3 linked regions of the Drosophila melanogaster genome follow. The protein of the gene in region 2 interacts with the protein of the main gene of each other region in a pairwise test. Each region holds a gene or a part of one and is shown on either strand. Other genes may lie near its edges.

What was found.
Region 1: the proteins of CG10565 (region 2) and drm interact in a two-hybrid assay, tested with the Drosophila melanogaster proteins (one large-scale study listed by BioGRID).
Region 3: the proteins of CG10565 (region 2) and fuss interact in a two-hybrid assay, tested with the Drosophila melanogaster proteins (one large-scale study listed by BioGRID).

Annotation. Positions count from the first base shown.
Region 1 is NT_033779.5:3,538,003-3,541,758, forward strand, and holds the start of drm (drumstick), read left to right. Parts: upstream 1-1,730; 5' UTR 1,731-1,975; intron 1,976-3,756. UniProt on the Drosophila melanogaster protein: Putative transcription factor. May function redundantly with odd and sob in leg joint formation during the larval stages, acting downstream of Notch activation.
Region 2 is NT_037436.4:21,134,376-21,138,131, reverse strand, and holds the start of CG10565 (uncharacterized protein), read left to right. Parts: upstream 1-1,778; 5' UTR 1,779-2,254; coding exon 2,255-2,514; intron 2,515-2,622; coding exon 2,623-2,768; intron 2,769-3,226; coding exon 3,227-3,756. Other genes in the region: Ac78C (adenylyl cyclase 78C), read left to right, coding at 1-278, 338-566, 629-774, 912-1,025.
Region 3 is NC_004353.4:976,795-980,550, reverse strand, and holds the start of fuss (fussel), read left to right. Parts: upstream 1-2,061; 5' UTR 2,062-2,344; intron 2,345-3,289; exon of another isoform or gene 3,290-3,756.

The sequences.
Region 1 (3,756 bases), on a different chromosome or scaffold from region 2:
AAGTAAGCCAAGTCATTTTTCAGACTCTTCTTTGGAGGGTTCATAATTAGTTTCTCCTTCAAAAGGAAGCTCCTCACAATTGTCGATACGTCTCCTTTTCGAGTTTGCTGATTGGCCATTTAAAATATGCAAATTTGATCCGAAAAACAATAAGACAGATGGACACAGATGGAGTGAAACAAAAGCGAGGCGGACAGAGATGAAGCCATCAAAGTGGAGTTGCCAACGGATTGCACTTAAAAATGCCCAAAAGCAGTCGAAAATAATTTGTTAAGCTTTATGGACAGGCGAAAACTTAATTAAAAACAATCCTTTTCTGGCGCACCTAATTAAAAACACTGGGTGTTAAGTTAATGAAGTTTCTTGCTGAATGAACGACACAGTTTTTCAGATTTCATTGAGAAATCGTAAAAGATAAACAGATATGGTGAGGCACAAAAGATAAACAGACCATCAATATGGTGTTTTTGTAGTATTATTTTTTCGGGTCTAAAGAGGCCACACAAGCAGAAGAGCGACAACAAAGGCGGAGGCGGCAAAGCCAAAGGAAATGCGAGAAAAAAGTTTCTCAGGCCCTGAAAACAAAATGGAGCTCCACAAAAAAAGAAGATAAATACACTAAAAATTGAGCACTGCGTAATACGGTTGCTCTGCTCTGCCACTGGTTTTTATATTTGGCCTCTCGCTCGCTCGCAAAACGGGTTAAGAAGCAGTTAAAAAGGGGGTGAGCGAGCGAGACGGCGCGAAAGAGTGGGACAGACAGAGCGCCGCCCAAAGCCACGCCCACATCTATAAAAATATACACAGGTATAAGTGAAAGAAAGTTACCTTTTTAGCCAAACAGCAGCTAGAAAGACAGAGAAGAAGTCCGAGGAAATCCAAAGAAATCGCAAGCTTATTACAGCCCGCATTATCCAGCACACCTTTCACTCATTAGTCGCCTAAACTTAATTGAAATGTTGGCTTACTTAAGCTTAATTAACAGTCAACTCAGGTAACGCCTTCGAAACCACTCAACTCAGGTAGCCTTCTCTCGCTCGCTCACTCTCCAGTTTTCTCAGTTCGCTCTTTAGCTCATTTTCCTCCGACCAATCAGCTGAAACACTCAAAACTCGTTCTCCGCGACCCAAACAGTGCGTGGGAAAGGGACAGCCAACCGAGAGAGGGCTGTAAAAAAGAGGGTAACCAAAAAAAGGAAAACAGAAAAAGTTCAACCCATCAAGCTGAAGTTTTCGATCGTAACTTTGCAGTTGACTCTCGCGCACAGAAGCGTTCGGAAGTGAAATATATTTTATTAATAATATTACCCAACACAGTGCTACCAAACAGAAATTGCATACAATTTGTGTCTTGCCAAATAGCAAACGGAATTTCGTGCTTTCGCAATAGGTAAGTGACGCCATTTTGTGACTTTTACGCTTGGCTTCCGTTAGAAGAGACGCCATTTTGTGGCTTCCGTTTGCCAGCTTCTGTACTTACGCATAAGAACTTAGGGCGAGCGAAAGGGATGGCTAGCGAGCGCTGCGCATGAGCAGTAGCTTCGGCTACCGGTCTTCGTTTTGCTTCGTTTCTCTTCGGATGACTCACACACACTTACACACACTCACACAGTGCCACCGAATTGAGTAACAGACAGGGACAGAGCGATGATCTCGCTTCCTCAACTTGCCAGCAGCGACGCCGGCAGCGACGCCGACAGAGGACGGCGGCAGAGGCGACTACTATTTCTTTCAGTTATTAGTAGCATTCATTCATTCAACTTTGTGCCGCTCGAGCGTGCGTATATAGTTCCCTCTCATCAGTAACAGTATCAGTAACAACATCAGTAACATTTCCTTCGCGAGTACCTTCAAAAGAGATACAAATCGATCTATCCATTCAGCGGACATACGAAAATCGCACAAAACTCAGCTATAGAAATCGGTTAGCCTCTACTCGAGTCCGAAGAACGCGTAACTCCAGTGCATCCCATTGGGTAAGTCTTTCTTCAGCTCCTCTCTTCAATGGCGTTCTTCGTGTTCTTCTGTTCGTCGTTCTTCCCCCTTCCACACTTGTTTCGCTACCAGTTTTACGCCGCTTTCATTGGACAACTGAAAACTGAGCAAAGAAAAGAAGAAGTAAACCCCACACGTAACACGGGTGCGTGTATCGGCCTCTCTTTCTGCCCGGGCCTCTCACTTCGGCTCTTTAGTGTGCCAGAGGGAGAGGGGCGATGCGTCTAATATGGCATGCGTGTGGCCAACGGAGCTTTTCGGCCTCTGTGTGCGTGAGAAAGTGTCGCCATTTGCCAAAATGGCGGACGCCAAGTCCGAATATTTCCCTATTGGACTGTAAAAAGTTTTTACCCGCACTTCTTGACACGAATTCCCCAAAATGGGTGATCTACTTGAAATACAACCGAGTTTATTGATCTCTCATTGTATAGTACAAATGTGTTATTAATTTCCGAAATGAATGAAGAAGAAATAATTTGTATCTCATAAAAAAATGCTCATTAATTTTCGAAAAGAAAACTATTTAATATTATTTTCTATTAAAGTTGGTCTAAAAAAACATTTGAGCTCTCTTCAGAACAAATATAAGTTTTTATTGTATCCTAAACTTTCAACCTGTTCTATTTTTAAAGGTTTCAGTCGTTTTCCATTGAAATTGTCTAGGAATTGAAAACTCTTAAAGCCGTCGGCATTTTTTCAGATTGAAAGAATAGAAGCTGAGAAGTTTAATGAGTCAGCATTAAGAACAAAAAGCCTAGTTTGTCGAAGGTTGATCGCGGACGCACAAAACACGGCAAATCATCGCCAAGAATGTTTGGCATATCATCATCAGCCGTTTTGGTACAAGTTATTTGCCTATGAGTCATGGAGTTGTGCTTTTTTCATTGGATTATGAAATACCAATGAGTACGGCTCAAGCTAACAACAGATGTTCAAAAAGTTGCGTCAAAGTCAGGTACTTTGAAATACCTGAGATTTGGCACTTGTGCGAAAATTCCAATGAATCTGGTGCGAAATCGCAGAAATCAGAACCCATATTCTAGGGGAACTTTCTGGAAGTAGGACTAACATTTACAATATAGGGAAATTCGTTTAACATAGTTATACTGAAGTAAAGTTGTTGTAAGAGTTTCGTGACCTCTGAAATTCTTACTGCTTTCCCGCGACCATTTCTTTCCCGTCTGTCTGATCTTTGACCTCGTCTGGACCTCCCGCTGCGCTCCATCAATTAGAGTCTAATTAGCTAAGCGATTACGGTAAATGGGCTCAGCTGGCAGCTAATCTGCGCCGACTTTTGAGCAACTGTCATATCTTACGGGCTGAAGGTGAGAAGCGTCCGAAATCGACTTGCTTCGGCCACGAAATTCCCATCCGATTTGCGATGGATCTAGGGAAGATCGCTCATACCTTGCCGCATTGTATCTTTGTATCTTGTGGTGTGTTTGTGTTTGGGGTTACGAAGGTATTCCTTTGTTCGCACTGAAGTGGCAGTGCCACACATCCTAATTGTTTCCACCGACTTATTGGTTCTGTTGTCAGGCCAGGATCTCGTGTGTGTGGGTGTTTTTCCCGGGAATTCTGCGCCATTAGCACAATTAGATTCGTATCAAATGGACTTCGGTGCCTTTGTCTTCAGAGCCTTATGTCCTTTTATTGTCATTTTTTCTCGCTTCGGTTTCTTCTTTTCACTTTTCGGTTGTAATTTTTAATGGCACCTTGCCAACTCACTGTCCGCCTCCTACAAAAAATAAAGGGATGACCA
Region 2 (3,756 bases):
CCGAGGATAGTGTCTGCGACCTGGTGGAGTTCGCATTTGCCATGAAGCAAAAGCTGGAGGAGATCAATGGGGATGCCTTCAATAACTTCCAGCTGCGTGTGGGCATCTGCAGTGGTCCTTTGGTAAGTGGAGTGATTGGAGCCAGGAAACCGGTCTACGATATCTGGGGCAATACGGTCAATGTGGCATCACGAATGGACTCCACGGGCGAGAACTGGCGAGTTCAGGTTCCGGAGAATACGGCGGAATTGCTTTGCTCCAGGGGTTACACGTGTGTGGTAAGTGGGTCTTTTGTTACCTATCCCGAATTCTTATACGTTTTTTCAAAATCCCACAGAAACGTGGTGAAATCGCTGTGAAGGGCAAGGGCATGATGACCACCTTTTATGTGCATCCCAAGGGAATATCGGAGAGCCAGCTGATCTCACCGGTTCGCATGCCAGCCGGGATTCCCCTGGCCCAAACCCCGAATCTTCAGCGGCAGACCTCCCATCATGGATCCTTCAGTGCCGTGGTTTTCGGAATGCTTCAGGCTAGCAAACGCAGCACAGCCATTGCCGGAACACGTAAGTGTTCCTTTCGGGTAACTTAAAATTCTTATAACATTAATTTGATTCTAATGCTTAAGCCACGGGCACTCCTTCGCCGCAAATCCGTCGAGGACATCGGGGAAGCACGTTCAGCTCGGTCCGGTTATCCCAAAAGTCCACCACGGTCAATCCTGTGCGCCGGAATACAACCCGTGTTCGGGGACGTTCATATCGACAGAAAAAGGTACAATACGTAGTGTTTCAAAAATTATTATATATCAAATAGTATTTAAGTTGTTCATATGATTCTGTTTAATTAGAAAGAGTATTTTCTAGAACCTATCTTATATAATGATATATTTTTCCTATTCAATATTTTAGAGTTCCTCCAACAACTCGATCGTCACGCAGGCCAGCTCTAGCTATATGCCCTCGTTCCGACGGATCGACCAGATCGAGACGACGATATCGAAGAGCCACAACGATGCGTTATAGCCGAGTACGCGCACTCACTGGGTCTAAGTCGATCTCAAGGCGATAGAGTGTCTGATGAATTTATTTTTGGAACGATTTTATACAAATGGAGTTACGCCGGCATATGTTTCAAAGTTTGGCTTAACACTGAAATGAAATGGTGGAGAACGACACTGAAGCTACTTAGTAGAATTTTTAAATCACCATACTTGAAGTTGCAAGAATTACATTTATCTCAGCACAATTCTAGTCGTTAAACTTAAGAACTGTCGTTTATATGTGTGCGTTTCAAATCTGTTTAGAGTAAGATATTTGGATCTTCCCACAAAAGCCAACCATACGAAATGCCAATGAACCTACTAGCTTCGTTCAATTCAACCATAATGTGTACCAACTAGTTTTCTAGTACTAATAGTCAATTTAACAGCCAGTAATCAATTAGAAAACCAAATATTAGTTGTACAAACCGTTTCTTTTGATCAAAGAGCGGAAATGTAAATAAAGTAAGCATACTTATGTATAAAATATTTTACGACCATCTAAATGTAATGAGGTCAAGTGTTACTGAAATGTGAAATGGATTTTGGCAAATAAAAGGTGTATTACTATACAGCCAGCACTTATTTAGCACTTTAATTGTAATTATACAATTCGTTATAAATAAATGTGATAAGCAAAACTAACAAATGGTAGAACTTAATGGTTTTTGGAATATACGTCAAGTTATCATTCAAATGAATTATAAACAGTCGTTTTCTTAACTATTGTATGACACTTTCTTTTTTTAGTGGCCCATTATAACAAAAACTCGAATGTGGAATGTATTTAATAGTGTAGGATTTGTTATGTAATGAACGTGGATTAATAATTTGTTAAGACGGTTAACTAAATATATAAATCATAAATAACCATTAGTTGAGATACGGTCACACTTTGGCGCCAAACCAATACAACAGTTGCCATTCGATTTTAGCTATAGCAGCTGGCAGCACTGCCAATAAGTGCCAGCGATACATGCTTGCTGTTATCGATCAAATATAGAGTAGGAAGCCAATCGATTTTACCAGCGCCATAATCGATGATGGCATCGATGTTTCACCACCACTAGTCGAAACACATGCGGTGCTGCGGAAAAGTGTGATTATTAATTGGATTTCGACGTTTTGAAGGCAGCGGATCGCCAAATTTTGAGTAACGTGAATCCACAGGAGTGGCGGTGAATGCCCATTAACCAGCGGACCTGACCAGAGATGACGAGCGGTACGGTAGCAACGGCGGTGGAGGTGCAGCTGCCGCTCAAGGTCGTTCGCCGTAAAATCGAGCGCGTTGGCTTCGCTTACTTTGCGCAACGGCGCCAATTTCTAGCTCCCGGCGGCGTGGAGCGCAGCGAAAGCGATGAGAAATTGGAGGGCGTGGGCGAGGAGGTGGACATCAGCTACCTAAAGTCGCTGGATCCTAAGGAGTGGAAGGACCAGGATCATTACGCCGTTCTTGGCTTGGGCAAGCTCCGGTTAGTGCGACGGCAGCACGTGGTGTTCTTCCCATGTGTTCGTTTCTATCAATATTTAATGGGACTTCCCCAACTAATACTGTATTGTCTGACTAAATCACCCTTTAGATACGAGGCCAGCGAGGATGATGTTCGACGGGCTTACAGGCGCATGGTTCTGCTGCACCATCCCGATAAGCGGAAAGCCAAGGGCGAGGAAGTCATCCAGGACGATGATTACTTCACATGCATAACCAAAGCTTACGAGATACTGGGTGGGTGTCAAGAAAATGTCCTTGCTGATCCTTGGGTGTCCTTCGGACTTCGCATTGCCCATGCAAATCGACAGATAAGAATATTTTGATATTAATTTTCAGAGCATTTGCTTAAGCTATATAAAATTATGATACCATACAATCCTGTTGAGTATAATAATCAATTAAGATTTTAAATTATCTGAAACTAATTTATACTCGATCTAATTCATTGGTGTGCTGTTGCCTTTGTCTAAGCGCGCAGAACTTGAAGCTTTATTTTTGCATATCTAAAAATAGGACTAGTTGTTTGCTCTCACATTCTTTTAAACAAAATGCCAAATTATAACTTACTATTATACAACAGAATTTTTTTGGCTTTAAACACTTTGAATAATTGTAAACAATTGTACGAAATAGACAGGAAGATTTTAAACTATTTCCTCTTAAACCATCTAATACTCCATCTTGTATTCCAGGCACATCCAAGCCGCGCCGCAGCTTTGACTCAGTGGATCCCGAGTTTGACGACTCGCTGCCCTCACAGAACGACATCGATAACGACTACTTTGGCGTATTTAACAAATTTTTCACACTTAACGGGCGCTGGAGCGAAAAGCCGCATGTTCCCTCCTTCGGGCAGGTGGACGCCAAACGCGAAGAGGTGGAGCGCTTCTACAACTTCTGGTACGATTTTAAGTCATGGCGGGAATTCAGCTACTTGGACGAAGAGGACAAGGAGAAGGGCCAGGACCGCGACGAACGTCGCTGGATCGAAAAGGAGAACAGGGCGGCTCGAATCAAGCGCAAGAAGGAGGAAATGTCTCGTATCCGGTCGCTCGTCGATTTAGCCTACAACAATGATAAGCGCATTCAGCGCTTCAAGCAGGAGGAAAAGGATCGCAAGGCTGCTGCCAAGCGAGCCAAGATGGACGCCGCCCAGGCCCAGAAGGCAGAAGCTGATCGTGCCATCCGTGAAGCGGCTTTGGCCAAGGAGAAGGCTGAAAAG
Region 3 (3,756 bases), on a different chromosome or scaffold from region 2:
GGGTTAGAGAGGGCGGGGCAAAAAGTTGTTTGGCAAATCGATAGAAATTCACAAGACTAATAAAATTATGAAAAATATACAACCATTTTTTATAAATGTGGTCGTGAAAACTTTGTGCGGTTTGTAAAGTTTAGACTTGGCGTGTCTAAATTAGGAAACCAACTAGTGCTGCGTCTATGCTTTTTGGGTTGAATGCTTATTCTAAGCTTTTAAGCTCCTGAACTTTGGACGCTCTTACGAACGGAAGGACGGACGGACAGTCGGCTATTGATCCTAACCTTGCTAAAAACATTTTCATTTCACCGAACCTAATATACCCTTTTAGTATTCGGGTAACGGGTATAAGCCAAGACTAAAACATATTAACAAATAATGGTAAAATAGCTGAAAGTCCTTCACAAAACAATGGGAAGAATTTTGTTGACGTAGAAAATGAACGCAAACCAGGGCTGCTAAAATTTCCCACCGTGGGCAACGCATTAGTCCCATTAAACGATGTTGCCATCCTTATTTCTACACATATTGGGTGTTGCCATTACGCACTTTGCAGTTGTTTTGAGTTCCCGTTTTGAAATCTACACAAGTACTCAATTCTAATCGATAATATAATACAAAAATTTAACAAAACATGTGTAGGAATAGAGATGTCAATTATTTTCAAGTAAAATTTACTAGGTTTGAGTCGTAGCTTTAACATAGATAACATCAACAGAAAAATGCTTTCATTTTTCCAGCCATCTAGGCACATCTGTTTACATCAAAGCTCTGGCCAATCCACATTAAGCAACTGAGAACGCCATAGTAGAGTTCTCGGGCTACCAGATACCTGTTACTCTGTTAATGGAAGTTCGAACGAAAAATATCACCAATTTTCTGGTATGTCAATTTGAATAGGGAAGAAATAATAATATTAAAAATTTTTTCAGATATGTGACATTTTGGGCGGTTCATGAGCAACTCACAAATGATTTTGGTACATCTATAGAAATTTTCAAATCAAGTACTATACAAAAAACAAAACATTTTTCAACAGTGTGGGCGTGGTAGTTTTGGGCGGTTTGTGGGCGTAAGAGTGGACGTGGCATATCGATAGAAGTTTACAAGATTAATAAAGTGATGAAAAAATTCAAAACAAATTTCAAAGGTGTGGGCGCGGAGGCGTTTACCTTTTTTGGCGTGACAACATCAGGAAACAAACTTGCTCTGCATATATGTATGTATCTGGAAACTGCATGCTTACTCTCAACTTTCTAGATTCAAAATTCCTGCGATCGAGGCTCATGCGGACAAATCGACTCGGCTGGTAATCCTGATCAAAAATATATATGTATATATTTCGGGTCGGAAATTCTTCCTTCAACCTGTTACAGATACACATACTCGGTTAGTAAGAGTACGAACGAAAAAGTTAAAAATTCGTTTTGGCGTATCGATAGATACGGAAGGACCAAAATTGAAATAATTTCAAACTTGAAATTTTTAAAAAATATTTTCATGTTGTAGTGTTTCTCAATTTGATCGATATTTTACAAAAATTTTGAAATATCGAACTTGACTATAGTGTTCCATCTCGGTTTTACATAGAACATTGACCGTCCTACTCTTAAGTACTGCTATAAAATGTCAGTTGTATATGAATTGTGTGAGAATGAGCTCATGTATTACACACACATCCTTTAACTCGCCAATTAAATTCAATTATCGTTACCTAAATTCGTTGGTGAAGTTAATTGAATAGAAAGCAACATTTAACATTTCAATTGTCGCTACATACCTGTACAAAAACAGGGTTGATACCACAAACTATTATATTTAGAAGAGCGCAGGCGCGTACTTTTGGAAACGCCCTGGAAATTAGGATAGTTGATTCTTATTGGCTCATTTTTTCTAGTATGTATATATATATATCTTCTTCTGTGGTGTATCATTTGCTTTCGGTCTCTTATTGGCTATAAGCAGGATTATTTTGTTCTTAGACTTTTACAATCTGGTATCGGTATCGGTTTCCCACTCCTGCTGCTTTTCTTTAAACGATGTCAATACCAACGAATATGGTGTTTCATATTCAGTTTTCGCACCTATTTCGTGTTGGAATAATCTAGTCCTCAAAGAAAGTAACTACTGTGTTAAATTTTTTAACTAAAATCGAGTATACTTTCTTTTATCAAACTATAAGATGTAACTTCAATAATGAGAAATATTACGTATATAAAATATACGTTCCAAATATATTATAAAAGTGGACCGAAATCTTAAAACAAACAAAAATAATACACACAATTTAAGAAACTTCACAAAAAAAACTGTGTTAATAAGGCGAAATGAATCTAAACGGAACTTGAACGTAAGTCAACAAGTGTTAACAAATTTATCTAACAAATATAGAAAATACGCGCACAAATGTTCATAAAACAAAAAGTTCGTCTGACCCCACATCATTAAGGATTTCCTAAATATTTAAATTTTAATGTGGACATAAGGCCACATAGTGACGAAATAAACATTTTGGTTGGTTTCTCTGTCTGTCTGCAACAAAACGTTATTTTAAATTTCGAAAATAAAATCATTAGTTCGAAAAATCAATACTTACAATCGCTTAAAACAGTGCAAAATGTCGTAAAAAGTCTATACCAATGCGTATATATTCCATATAGCATAAACAAGTGTAAATTGTACTCTTCGGTAAATTGTATACGGTAAATCGGTAAGTTGTATACTCCTTCAGAACATTGAATACTATCTGGCTAAAATGTTCTATAAATTGTATACTAAACTCAAAATAAAACGTAATCGAGCTTATCGGTTTAAAGTGATATTTAAAAAAATATATATTGTTTTATTTATTCTTATATTTTTGTACCCGTTAGTCGTAGGATAAAAGGGTATATTAGATTCGGTTAAAAGTATGAAAGGAAGTGTTTCCGACCATATATTAAGCAGGATCGAGTCGGGTCGATCTGACCCTGTCCGTCTGTCCGTATGAATGTCTCGAGCTCAGGAACTGTAAAAGCTAGAATGTTGAGATTGAGGATGCAGCTTCCAGAGACATAGACACATCGACACACACAAAACTGCTACTCCCACACTTTAAAACCGCCCAAAATGCCACGCCCACGCTTTTGAAATTTTTTTTCGTAATTTTAGGAGTCTTGTGTATTTCTATTCATTTGCCAAAAAACCTGTTGCCACGCCCACAATAACGCCCTAAAGCGTTAGACGCGTTTGCGACGCAAACACTTTTGAATTTTTTTAGATTTTTCTTTGTTTTATTGTTTGTCTTGCGAATTTTCTGAGTCTATGGCAGCATGGATATTCACAGCCATTTTATTCACTTTAGCAGTTTTCAAAACACAAAAGCCAAATAGATATAGTTTAGTGCTGCCCGCCTCTGGCACGTCTTGTGGAAAGTGTAGAATCTGTTGTAGATGCAGGACCACTGGGCAGCGACCCTTAGTGGTATTGTAGTTCCTGTGGTGCTTCAACTTGGTGTAGTTAATCAGACAGAAGAACGTCATGCTGGCGACGGTCAGCTGGAAGAAGGGAGCGATCACGGCGCGCTTCGGGAACACGTAGTTGTACTGCCAGCGCCAGCATGCACGGTTCACGGCTCCGGCCACAGCGTTGGGCGTCTTGTTGCGGCGTCCCAGCCAGGCTTTACCGTAGAAGCGAGCGGGGTCTTAGGGCCCGTGCACCTTGGGGTTGTACTCACCTGGATAGTCACCAAATGACACCGCGTTCCTTCGATACTGACAGTAT